Linked DNA regions of Macaca fascicularis. The protein of the gene in region 2 purifies or fractionates together with the protein of the main gene of each other region. This does not show direct contact. Links are inferred from orthologs where the notes say so. Each region holds a gene or a part of one and is shown on either strand. Other genes may lie near its edges.

Region 1 (6,419 bases), on a different chromosome or scaffold from region 2:
GGGTACAGTGGCTCCTGCTTGTAATCCCAGCACTTTGGGAAGCAGAGGCAGGTGAATAACCTGGGGTCAGGAGTTCAAGATCAGCCTGACCAATATGGTGAAACCCTATCTCTACTAAAAATACAAAAATTAGCCGGGCGTGGTGGTGCACGCCTGTAGTCCCAGCTACTCGGAAGGCTGAGACAGAAGAATTGCTTGAACCCGGAAGGCAGAAGTTGCAGTGAGCCAAGATCCCACCACTGCACTCTAGCCTGGGCAACAGAGCGAGACTCCCTCTCAAAACAAAAAAGAAAAGAAACAATGTCAGCGAAAAGGCAAAGGGGCAACACCTTTGAAGTACTGAGAAAAATACTTTGGCCTGGAACTCTATACTAAGAGTAAATGTTTTCCAAAACAAAGGCAAAATAAAGATTTTTCAGATGTATGAAAGCTAAAAGAATTCAGTACCAACAGACCAGCACTTCAAAATATCAAAGGTGGCCTGGCGTGGTGGCTCACCCCTATAATCCCAGCACTTTGGGAGGCCGACACAGGCAGATCACGAGGTCAGGAGTTCCAGACCAGCCTGGCCAACATTGTGAAACCCTGTCTCTACTAAAAATACAAAAATTAGCCAGGCATGATAGTGTGTGCCTGTAGTCCCAGCTACTCAGGAGGCTGAGGCAGAAGAATTGTTTGAACCTGGGAGGCAGAGATTGTAGTGACAATATGGTGCCACTGCACTCCAGCCTGAGCAACAGAGCGGGACAGCTACTCAGGAGGCTGAGGCAGGAGAATGGCGTAAATCCAGGAGGCGGAGCTTGCAGTGAGCCGAGATCCCGCCACTGCACTCCGGCCTGGGCGACAAAGCGAGACTCCGCCTCAAAAAAAAAAAAAAAAAAGCACAAACAGGCATTAGGGCATGCTTATAGGACTGGGCTAAAAACAGAAGTGATGGATAAAAGTCTGTGTAAGAAACACATGACTTACCCCTCCCGATCCTTACAAAGAAATCTGTGGAGAGGCTCTATGCCCATAGCTTATAAGGCATGGATGAGACTGGGGGTAAGAAGCCCTACTGACAGCTGGGGGGTAGTGAATGCCCACCTTCTGAACAGTGAGATCCCCAATGTCATTTCCCTGCTCAACTCCCAGAACAACAACGCCCAGGTCTGTGCCACCCATACAGGAGTAAGGAAATAAAGAACAGAAGTGGTAACACATAAGAGCATCAGCCTCTGAAAAGTGAAAACTGGGCAGAGAGGAGAATAACACACATGACAGTTGCTTTCTGTTAGAAGCCTTACAGTAGTATTTGACCTTTTAAACTATATTCATGCATTTTATTTAAAAATCTAAAAACAATCAATATGTATTAATTTTAAATCATTCGCTTTAATAAAAAGTTGTTTTCACATCTTCCTTCCTTTTATTGAAAAGGCGCCCACCCGCCCAGCTAATTTTTTGTATTTTTAGTAGAAACAGGGTTTCACTATGTTGGCCAGGCTGGTCTCAAACTCCTAACCTTGTGATCTGCCCACCTTGGCCTCCCAAAGTGCTGGGAATACAGGCGTGTGAGCCACTGCACCCGGCCGCCATTGGCTTCTTTAATTGGTTAAGAGCACAAAATGTAACAGGCAGAAGGTCTGTTTCAAACAAATTAAAATGCTATGTGTTTTTTAAATTCTCCCCAAGTCAAATATACACACACCCACAAAAATTGTGTGTGAAGGAAAGCTGTCATACACAATAAGTTGTATCCTGAATTATTCAAGGAAGCACATGTTGGAATGGGAATTAGCAGAGTCAGCAACAGATTAATATTTTTTAATTGAGTCTTAAAATGCTACATGGCCCTAAGCAATACTACATAAAGTACTGCTAGGTGCAAAGGAGAAAATCTGTATAGCTTTTAGTAAAAATGTTTTTCCAGAAAAGAAAATTAAAATAAAGCAATTAGCAGACCAAGGAGACTACAGCTAGATATCAAAGCTACAACTTCTCATATCTGTGTCAGAAAATCCTATTTTCCGCAATAGACTAAAATTTCAGGACAAAACAGGGACTTTTTAACTTTTCTTTACCGATTTTAAATTCTTTGATAAAAGGTTTTTAATTGGGTTAACACAGTACATGCTGAAGTTCATATTTTGTTGTTGTTGCTGTTGTTAATCTGTAAGGTCATTTTCATCCTTACCTTCTTCCCACCTGGCTTCTCCACAGTGAAAACTTCACTCCAGATCTGAATCCCAGTGGTTTCCGGATCAGATCCCCCTCTCCATGAAAATCCTGTTAACGGTTCTTCTGGGTCACCCAACCAATTTGAATGGCCACTTTCCTTCTACAGAAGTAAGAAATCTCCATTAAATCTTAAATTAAAAATTTTATGCATCAAGAATAATCTATGAGCTTATTTTGCTTTTTTGGACATTCAAGTCTCACTTTTTACTTGAAATAAAATAATTCTATCTTACCTGAGAATATAAGTATCGTAGCATAAAATCCAGAATGAAGGACTTGCCCTTTCGGAAGGCACCAGCCACTGAAACCACCACCACATCAAGATCTCGGATGTGGTCCTGCAAGAGGATGCTGGCCAAGGCTTTCTCATCTAGCTCAAAGGAATGTTGATCTTTCTGAACCAAAACAACCTGCACTGGACCAGGCTTGCTGCTCTCCATGGCATCACCTATGTTCATGTAGAGAAAAAAAAATTAGTGTCAAATATTTAAAATATGTTTTTGAATACGGGGAAAACAAAAACTTCTTAAACAGGGGACAGGGTCAGGCTCAGTGGCTCATGCCTAAAATCACAGCACTTTGGGAAACCAAAGCAGAAAGATTACTTGAGGCCAGGAGTTTGAGACTAGCCTGGGAAACAGTGAAACCCAGCGCTATGAAATTTAAAAAATTAGCCAGGTGTGGTGTACACCTGTAGTCCTAGCTATTCAGAGGCTGAGGCAGGAAGACTGCTTGAGCCCAGGGGTTTGAGGTTGCAGTGAGCTATGATCACACCACTGTACTCCAACCTGGGTGACAAAACTAAAAGAAACAAAAAACAGACACAAAAGTACTAACCATAAAAGGGCAGGGGCACGGTGGTTCGCCCCCGTAATCTCAGCACTTTGGGAAGTCGAGGTGGGTGAATCACTTGAGGTCAGGAGTTCAAGACCAGCCTGGCCAACATGACGAAACCCCATCTCTACCAACAAATACAAAAATCAGCCAGGTGTGGTAGCACACACCTGTAAGTCCTAGCTACTCGGGAGGCTGAGGCATGAGAATAACTTGAACCTGGGACGCAGAGGTTGCAGTGAGCTGAGATCATACCATTGCACTCCCACCTGGGCAACAGATAAGACCCTGTCTCAAAGAAAAAAAGTACTAACCATAAAAGAAAATAAAATGACAACACAGACTTCATTAAAATTAAAAATTGTGTTCATTTAAAGACTTCAATAAGTAAAAATGCAAGTCACAGGCTAGGGAAGAGTATTCATAATATCTATTTCCAAAGGACCCACATCCAGCATCAACATAGCAATCCACAAGAAAAAATAACAGGCACTTTGCAAGAAAAAGACATACAAATCCTATTAAAAGGTACTTCCATATCATTACTCAACAGGGAAATGTAAATTAAAACCACAGTAAGATACCACTACCTGCCCATCAGGATGGCTAAAATTTAAAAGACTGACAATATCAACTGTGGGACAGGGTATGAAGCAACTGGAATTCTCACACATTCTGATAGGAGCACAAAATACTAAAGCCATTTCAAAAAACTGTTTGGCAGTATCCACAAAAATTAAATGTATCTGTGATCCAGCAATTCTACTCCAAGGTATACACCAAGTTATACACCTAAGAGAAATGAATGCCTACGTCCACCAAAAAACATATATACAAGAATGTTGAGCTGGGCATGGTGGATCGCACATGTAGTCCCAGCTACTTGGAGAGCTGAGGCAGGAGGATTACTTGGGCCCAGGAGTTCAAGACCAACCTGGACAATATTGCAAGACTCTATCTTAAAAACAGAAAGTTCCTATCAGCTTTACTCAAAACAGTCCAAAAGTGGAAATAAAACAATGTCTATCAATAATAGTGTGTTTGCCACTGCTAAGCTTTCTATATATTTAATCCTCAGAACAACTCTGATGTAAATAATATTGCTTCATTTTAAAAAGAAGGAAATGGCCAGGCTCAGTGGCTCACACTTACAATCCCAGCACTTTGGGAGGCCAAGGCAGGCTGATCACTTGAGGTCAGGAGTCCAAAACCAGCCTGGCCAACATCGTAAAGCCCTGTCTCTACTAAAAATACAAAAAAAAAAAAAAAAAAAAAAAAAAAAAATTAGCCGGGCATGGTGACACATGCCTGTGGTCCCAGCTACTCAAGAGGCTGAGGGAGGAGAATTGCTTGAACCGGGAGGCAGAAGCTGCAGTGAGCCGTGATCGCGCCACTGCACTCCAGCGTAGGTGGCAGAGAGGTCTCAAAAAAAAAAAAAAAAAGAAGGAAATGAAGGCTTATGAAGGTTCAGCATAGTGCCCAACAGTTCCTAGAAATAAGCTCAAAAAGATCTTTAGGTGGTTGTGTTTTGCATATCACTAGTAATAACTCAAAAAGTTTTAGAAGCAATTAATTCTGTAGTTCAAAAATAAGCACTAACTAGTATTATACTTTCCTTACCAGTTTCCCTACCAAAGTACAAAGATAATTAATTTGAAATTCAGGTCAGCCACAGCGTCCACGCCTGTAATCCTAGCACTTAGAGAAGCTGAGATGGGAGGATTGCTTGAGGCCAGAAGTTCAAGACCAACTTGGCCAATACAGCGAGAGATTGTCTTGAGAAGGGAAGAGGGAAGGGAAGAGGGGAGGGGAGGGAAGGGAAGGGAAGGCAAGGGGCCGGACGCAGTGGCTCACCTGTGCAAACCCAGCACTTTGGGAGGCCGAGGCGGGCAGATCACCTGAGGTCGTGAGTTCCAGACCAGCCTGACCAACATGGAGAAACCCTGTCTCTACTAAAAACACAAAATTAGCCAGGCGTGGTGGTGCACGCTTGTAATCCCAGCTACTTAGGAGGCTGAGGCAGGAGAATCCCTTGAACCCAGGAGGTGGAGGTTGCGGTGAGCCGAGATTGCGCCACTGCACTCCAGCCTGGGAGAAAGAGTGAGACTCCGTCTCAAAAAAAAAAAAGAAAGAAAAGAAAAGAAAGCAAAAAAGAAATTCATTCAGGCCGTGCGTGGTGGCTCATGCCTGTAATCCCAGCACTTTGGGGGCCAAGGCGGGCAGGTCACCTGAGGTCAAGAGTTCAAGACCAATCTGGTCCAACAATGGTGAAACTCTGTCTCTACTAAAAATTAGCCAGGCATGGTGGTGCGCGCCTGTATCCCAGCTACTCCAGAGGCTGAAGCAGGAGAACTGCCTGAACCTGCATGGTGGAGGTTGCAGTGAGCCAAGATCGTGCCACTGCACTCCAGCCTAGATTTCAGAGCGAGACTCTATCTCAAGAAAAAAAAAAAAAGAAAGAAAGAAATTCAGAGACACTTAGTAGCTGTGGACTTACGGGAAGTTTACAAAAAACTACCATTGGGGCCTAAGGAGTGAATAAAGAACTATTTCCCTAAGTGTGAGTGTCACTGGTATTAAAGATGTTTTTAGGTAGTTAAAAGGACATAGTAATTTTAATAATTATGCATTTTAATGTATACTTTAAAACAACAAATCTGTATTTTAATAAATTATTCTTTAGAAGGATGCTAAATTTAACAAGTCTGTTTATTTATTTAAGACAAGGTCTGGCTCTATCACCCAGGATGGAGCACAGTGGCACTATCTCAGCTTATTGCACTCTCCGCCTCTCCGGCTCAAGTCATCCTCCCACCTCAGCCTCCCAAGTAGCTGGGACTACAGGCATTCATCACTATACCCAGCTAATTTTTGTATTTTTGGAGAGATGGGGTTTCACCATGTTGCCCAGGACCGTCTTGAACTCCTGAGCTCAAATGATCTACCTGTCTCAACCTCCTAAAGTGCTGGGATTACAGCGACACCATACCCAGTCAAGAAGTCAATCTAAAGTAGACTTGAGGAGACATATTAAGTAAAGCTTAGTACTGACAGGCAGACATGGCCAAAATCACAAAGATGGTTCCAAAATGACTTTGTCTAACCAGCACTGAGGGCTACACGATCATGGCAGGCAAAGCAGACAAAACAGTTTGACTGCAAGACTCTCTCCCCTTTAAGCCACTGGAATTGCTGCTCACTTTTTACATTTATAGTATCAGATAGCAACAAAAGGGTTCTTCGCACTTTTTTTTTTTGAGACAGTATCTTGCTCCAGCACCCAGTATCTTACTGCAGCCTCAAACTCCTGGGTTCAAGCGATTCTTCCACCTCAGCCGCCAGAGTAGCTGGGACTACAGGTGTGT
Region 2 (6,419 bases):
AAGGTATGTACATCAATACCAGCATATTCAAAACCGAATTTGTATTTTCCTTCTTAAATCTACTTTAATCTCTCATGTTCCCTATCTCAGTTTCTCATACTGCCATCCATACATGTGCACATGCCAAGAATGAAATCCAGGGTTCCTGGGGTCATCTTTACTTCTTCCCCTCATCCTTTACGTCCTTATCCATCAAACACCAAGTCCTATGTCTCTGTGCTCATCCCACTGCCTCAATGTTCATAATCTCCTCTTTCTTACATTACAGCAACTGGTCTACCACTGTTCCAATGGTGATGAGCTGGACCGTACTGCTGAAGCACCAGCACTTACATACATAAGCATATTCAGTAAATTTATCCTAATCACTATTTTAGAGAAAACGTAGCCAAATCAGAATACTAATAAAGAGCACATGTGCAAATCACCTTATGCAAATCAGGTATGTGTAAAATGGATAGTCAAAAGAAAAAAAGGAGAATTGGTACTTTTCAAAATAATTCATAAAGCATAACTCAATTTATACTTTTCAACAAAAAGTCTACACTCAATATGCCTAACTTTATACCTACCACTGGAAAAGTACTATACTATATTGAAATATTTAAAACATGCTACAGAAATGTTCTTTAAAAATTAAATATGATAATTTCTGGGATAACAAAAACACATCTGAAAATATTTTAATATCTCTTGCTCTTCATGTTATCAAGAAAAACAAGTGAAATAAATAAATAAATAGGTACTAAAGTTAATTCTTATAAACAGAAATATTTTCTATTAATAGTTCCATAGTGCATTATAAAAGTGTAACTGTGTGGAAAAGTTAAGGGTGAATGCTGAGTGCAAGAGAGTTAGAAAAACCACTACAACCTTTAAGTGAGAAAGTGGAGAAGACTTCTTATCAATGTGACATATTAGACACTATAAACATAACATAAAACACAAAATGTAGTGGAATGTTCCCTAAGTCAAAAAGTGGTATGAAAGCACAAAATGCATATAGATTGGATTACCTGAAGTTTTACTCAGCTCTGCTGAAAATATAGCAGATGGTGATCTGTCCTCCTTTTCTGTATCAGAAGGAAGATTTTTCTCAGCTTCTTTCATAAGAACTTTGGGTTTAACTATGCCGCCTATCTCTGCTTGAGTGGTCAAAGCAGAAACATCTGGAGGCAATAAGAGCACCTTTGATGTAGCAGACCCATTTTTGGAAAAGTCATCTGAGAAACTGATTTTCTCTTCAACTTTGGGTTGTATGTTCTTCAAAGAAAGGTCATGGGGCAATTCTGTGCAAGGCAATGACCCAGCTCCACCCGGGGCATTAGCAATTTCACTTTTGTGGGATACTTCTAGGTCAGTATATTCCCTGGCTAATTTAGAAAATGAATCAGTTTTAGAACTGATCAATGTAGGGAACTCATCTATAATTTCAATTGGAGATGAATCTGAAAATGTTTCAGTTTCTCTTACTTGTGCTTCCTTAGAAAGAAATAAGTCATCATCTGAATAAACTGCAGTACTGAGCTCCTCCATCTGCAAAGGAATTTTCTCCTTTTTGCTCAATGTTGAAACTTCATCAGGTAACAGGGTATCTTTTGTGTTATCTAAATTGAGCTTGAAAGATTCCAAATATGGCTTTCCTCCCTCAGGTGGTAAAGCACTAAGTTTTTCCTTATTTTCATGTTCTATCATTGACTCAAATGAAGTTTCAGGGAGATTTTCTTTCACAAGCATCACAGCTTCATCTTGTTTTTGTGGAACGTCAGGTATGGAATCATCACTAAATAAGTCAACTGGTTCAGAATCAGGTGAGGAATCTTCAACTAGCTCAGAATGATCAGGCACTGGCTGTTCAACTTTTGCCATTTCTGAATAATCAGAGAAATCTGGAGTTGGTTCAGCAGAAAGCTTTGTTTCTTTAATTAAATCACATGCAATAGATATATAAGGAGCTTCTGTTTCTTGAACAGCTGCATTAATGCTTTCAGGCTCTTTAATTTCTTCCTTTATTCCTGATACTTTTTTTAGTGATACACTCATGGCCTCTTCGTATGGTGGGGGGTTTTCAGGCTCGTGTATTATGCTTTCATAATTAACTGAAGAAGCTTCTAATGGTGATGAGCTGGGCTGTACCGCCGAAGCACCAGCACTAGGAACTGCAGAATTCAATGGTGCTTCCATAACAATGTCAGGCAAAACTGGCGAAGGAGTAGCTTCTGATTCTTCAAATGATGGGCAAAGCTGTGCTGCAGGATAGAGGGACTCTTGCATAACTTCTGATGTTTGAACCAAGTCCATTTTTGTTTCATAAGCAATCTTTGTACCAGTAACTTCATTCAATTCACTTTCACATGCTTCCTGTACTAAATCTGGAGTCAGGCCTTCAGGCATGTTTGCCACTACTTCCTCAGTCACCTTTCCTAAATTATCTGTTGTGACATAATCTGTCTCAGAATCCTGTGCTGCTACAAGAAAAGGGTTTGATGTTTTGGTGCTAGTATTCTTCTCTGTTACTATTTGGGCCTTCTTTTCTTCTATTTTTTTTTCATCGGTCTTATTTTCTGAAGTATGATCTCCTAACAAAGGAAAAATGTTTGTTGCAATGCTCTCAGTTGCTGCTGGGTTAAAAGGAGCACATGTGATATATGCTTCTGAACGATCCTTTATAGCTTCTGGTGTACTGGGGAAAGAAGTATCATCATTACTACTCTCACTATCTTTTTCATGATTAGTTTGCTCAAGGCTATCTGCAAAACCTTTTTTATCCACTTTACTTTCCAACTTGCTCTCGACTTTACCTCCAGCAGCCAACACATCACTATCTTCCTTACTATCTTTCACTTCCCATACTCGCTCAAATGGTTTGAAGTCTGCGTATTCCTCCCTCATAGGAGCTTCCACTGCAATTCTCTTTTCATTAAAACTGTCTTTTGCTTTTTCTAAAGACATAACTTCATCCTCTTCTTTAACCAATTTAGTAAGAGCTATAGGCAACTCTTGTTGATTATGAAGGATGTTATTACTAACTAAATTCTCTTCTTCTTTATTTTTCACGATTATTTCTTCCCTAGGATTTGCTACTATTATGGCAGATTCTGCTTTTGGAGAGACATTGAATGATGATCCCATTTCTGAGTATTCTAATTCTGAAAACTCTGTTAAATCTCTATCTACAAGTGGAGTTTTTGCCTTCTCTGAGAACTCTTTAGAAGCTTCATTGACAGTTTCTTGAAGTGTTCCTTCGGTGGGTAATACTGTTGACAAATTACCAAGGTATTCATGTTCTTTAAAAGAAGCAGCTGAGAGAGGAGACAGAGAAGGAAGAGAAGCAGCAGTTTCAAGCAGGACAGATGGGAAATCCTCTTGACCAGCCGAAATAGTGTTACCTGGCTGCTCCTTCAAGTCCATAATATTTTCTGTGACCATGGACAGAAAGGAAAGTTAGAGAATGCCAGTGTTCTCAGAGTTAATGCAAGTTTTATGACAGATTCAAAATAGTGTTAGTAAAGACTTACTGTTTATTAAAATGAAATGTTAATAGCAATTAATAAGTAACAATAGAGTAGACTTTAATCATTACTGAAAATATTAAGCTACTGTAAATATAACATATGCATGGCTACAGAGGCAATTACATGCTATGCAAAGACAAATCAAGTCTGAGTAAACCTCAAATGTTATCAACTAAGATACTAAGAGCTAGTTTTAGAGAAGAGAAGAATATCTGCGAAAAGAGTTTGAGTGACAGTATAGGAAAGAAGGGGCACTGGGAAATTAAATGCCATAGACTGGTATTTATTTACAGGAAAGTCTTTCTGGCTATACTCAAACTATATTGGGAGAAAGGGAATTGTAAATATGTAAATGTAATTCAAGGGTCCAAGAATTCCTTATGTACTTCCAAGAGTTCATCGGATTTTGCTCATTTTTTCCTTGGGCATACCATATCAAATGCAAATTTCAACTTTTCCAGTAGACAGACATTCTTGGAACCATGCTAATTTTTAGTAAATCCAAGCTACTCTGCATAGAGTTAACACACTAAAAAGTTAAAGTTAGAATACAAAGAGGATAAAAGGCTGGCAGAAAAGAACTTGCCTGCAGAGGAGCGTATCACAGGCTCAGATGCAGCAGGAAGAGCAAAAAGGGTCTCATCTGAAAAACAAATAGAATATAACCTCAGCAGAAATAAAGACAGACTGAAAGGAGACTAAAGATCAGAGGAGCAAGCCAGGGTTCAGTTTGTAATAAGTTAACAAAAAACTTTACAGAGAAAGGGCCAAGATCAAAAGGAAGTCAGAAAAAGAAGTGCCATTAATTCAGGTTAAATCATCACATATATTATAAAGTTAATTAAATGTTATCCATAGAACCTATCATTTTTCAAGACGCAATACAACCTGTTTATGTTAAAGAAACTTATGAATCAAAGTGGCTTTAAAATACTGTTCTACTTAACGTATCACATCCAAAGCTTTCACTCAGGTTTTCATATAGGTAAATTGTCTTGTTCTATTCAAGCCAAAAATAAAAAGCTGAATTTGAATAAAATTAACAACTACAAATGTTTAATCTTTTGTTACTGGCGTATGTTTAATTTAGAAAAACACTTTTAAAGAATTACGCATTTTCTCTTACATTCTAAGTTGTTACAGTCATTGTACCCTGTTCTTTGAAGACATTAGTCCTGTGCCAACGTCCAAATGCCAGAGTCCAAAATACAAAAAAAATAATAATAATAATTAACTGCCTTTAGGACGACACTATTATTGGTGTTATTTAAAATTAACCTAAGTGAGGGCTACTTGCTATTTGTATACACAACTAGTGAGAGACAGGCAATTCAATTCCAGAGCCCATTTCCTTAATCACTGTATGTTACAGAACTGAATGCTTATATCTCCTCCAAAACTCATGTTAAAGCCCCAACCCGGAATGTGACAGTATCTGAAGATGGGGACTTTGGGAGGTGATTAGGGTTAAATGCAGTTGGGGGGGGAGGCCTGGGCCGAGGGGATTAGTGCCCTTATAGGAAGAGACACCAGAGAGCTTGCTGTCATGCTCCCTGTCTCCCCAGGCATGGGGAGGTCATGTGAGCACACAATGAGATGGTGGTCACCTATAAGCCAGGAGAAGAGGCCTCAGAAAGAAATCTACCTTGCCAGCACCTTGATCTTAGACTCACCAGCCTCCAGAACTGTGAAAAGTAAATTTCTGTTCAGCCACCCAGCCTATGGTACTTTGTTACAGCAGCCCAAGCTAACAAACACACTCTATATTGGTAATATTAACTTTGTACAATGTCATCTTGAACCTGCAGATGGGAGACCCTAAGCTGTAGGGAAAAGAAAGAAAGATCAGACTGTTACTGTGTCCACGTAGAAAGGGAAGACACAAGAAATTCCATTTTGACCTGCAGCTGAAAAACTACTTTGCTTAAATGCTGTTAATTTGTAACTTTGCCCCAGCCACTTTGCCCCACCTTGTGCTCACAGAAACATGTGTTGTATGGAATCAAGGTTTAAGGGATCTAGGGCTGTGCAGGACATGCCTTATTAACAAAATGTTTACAAGGAGTATGCTTGGCAAAAGTCATCACCATTCTCTAGTCTCAATAAACCAGGGGCACAATGCACTGCGAAAAGCCACAGGGACCTCTGCCTTGGAAAACCGGGTATTGTCCAAGGTTTCTCCCCATGTCATAGTCTGAAATATGGCCTCATGGGATGAGAAAGACCTGACCGTCCCCCAGCCAGACACCCATAAAGGGTCTGTGCTGAGGTGGATTAAAGAGGAAAGCCTCTTGCAGTTGAGATAGAGGAAGGCCACTGTCTCCTGCCTGCCCCTGGGAACTGAATGTCTCAGTATAAAACCCGACTGTACATTTGTTCAATTCAGAGATAGGAGAAAAACTGCCCTCCACTGAGATGTTTGGGCGGAGAGAAACATAATCTGGCCTGCGTGCACATCCAGGCATAGTACCTCCCCTTGAATTTAATTATGACACAGATTCTTTTGTTCACATGTTTTCTTGCTGACCGTTTCCTTATTATCACCCTGCTCTCCTACCACACTCCTCTTGCTGAGATAATGAAAATAATCAATAAAAACTGAGGGAACTCAGAGACCGGTGCTGGTGCAGGTCCTTGGTATGCTGAGTACCGGTCTCCTGGGCCCACTGTTGTTTCTCTATACTTTGTGTCTTATTTCTTTTCTCAGTCTCTCGTCCCACCTGACGAGATATACCCACAAGTGTAGAGGGGGAGGCCTCCTCTTCACTAAGCTAAAGATCTTCTACAGTTTACACTAGAGAAAGGCCTCTACCATAAGACAATTTGTAAGAGCCTGAGAGATGACTGGAAGGTAATATTCCTTGAACAGATTGAACCTAATAAATTTAGACAATTTCATCTGGA

What was found.
Region 1: the proteins of RTN4 (region 2) and ATL3 purify together in Homo sapiens (affinity purification with mass spectrometry; 4 studies listed by BioGRID and IntAct, counting the BioPlex papers as one, with this or other methods). This does not show direct contact. The link is inferred for Macaca fascicularis from reciprocal best matches to the Homo sapiens genes RTN4 and ATL3.

The regions. Positions count from the first base shown.
Region 1 is NC_088388.1:10,750,825-10,757,243, reverse strand, and holds part of ATL3 (atlastin-3), read right to left. Parts: intron 2,669-6,419; coding exon 2,454-2,668; intron 2,321-2,453; coding exon 2,177-2,320; intron 1-2,176. UniProt on the Homo sapiens protein: Atlastin-3 (ATL3) is a membrane-anchored GTPase that mediates the GTP-dependent fusion of endoplasmic reticulum (ER) membranes, maintaining the continuous ER network. It facilitates the formation of three-way junctions where ER tubules intersect.
Region 2 is NC_088387.1:66,811,082-66,817,500, reverse strand, and holds part of RTN4 (reticulon-4), read right to left. Parts: intron 4,159-6,419; coding exon 4,102-4,158; intron 3,420-4,101; coding exon 1,017-3,419; intron 1-1,016. UniProt on the Homo sapiens protein: Required to induce the formation and stabilization of endoplasmic reticulum (ER) tubules. They regulate membrane morphogenesis in the ER by promoting tubular ER production.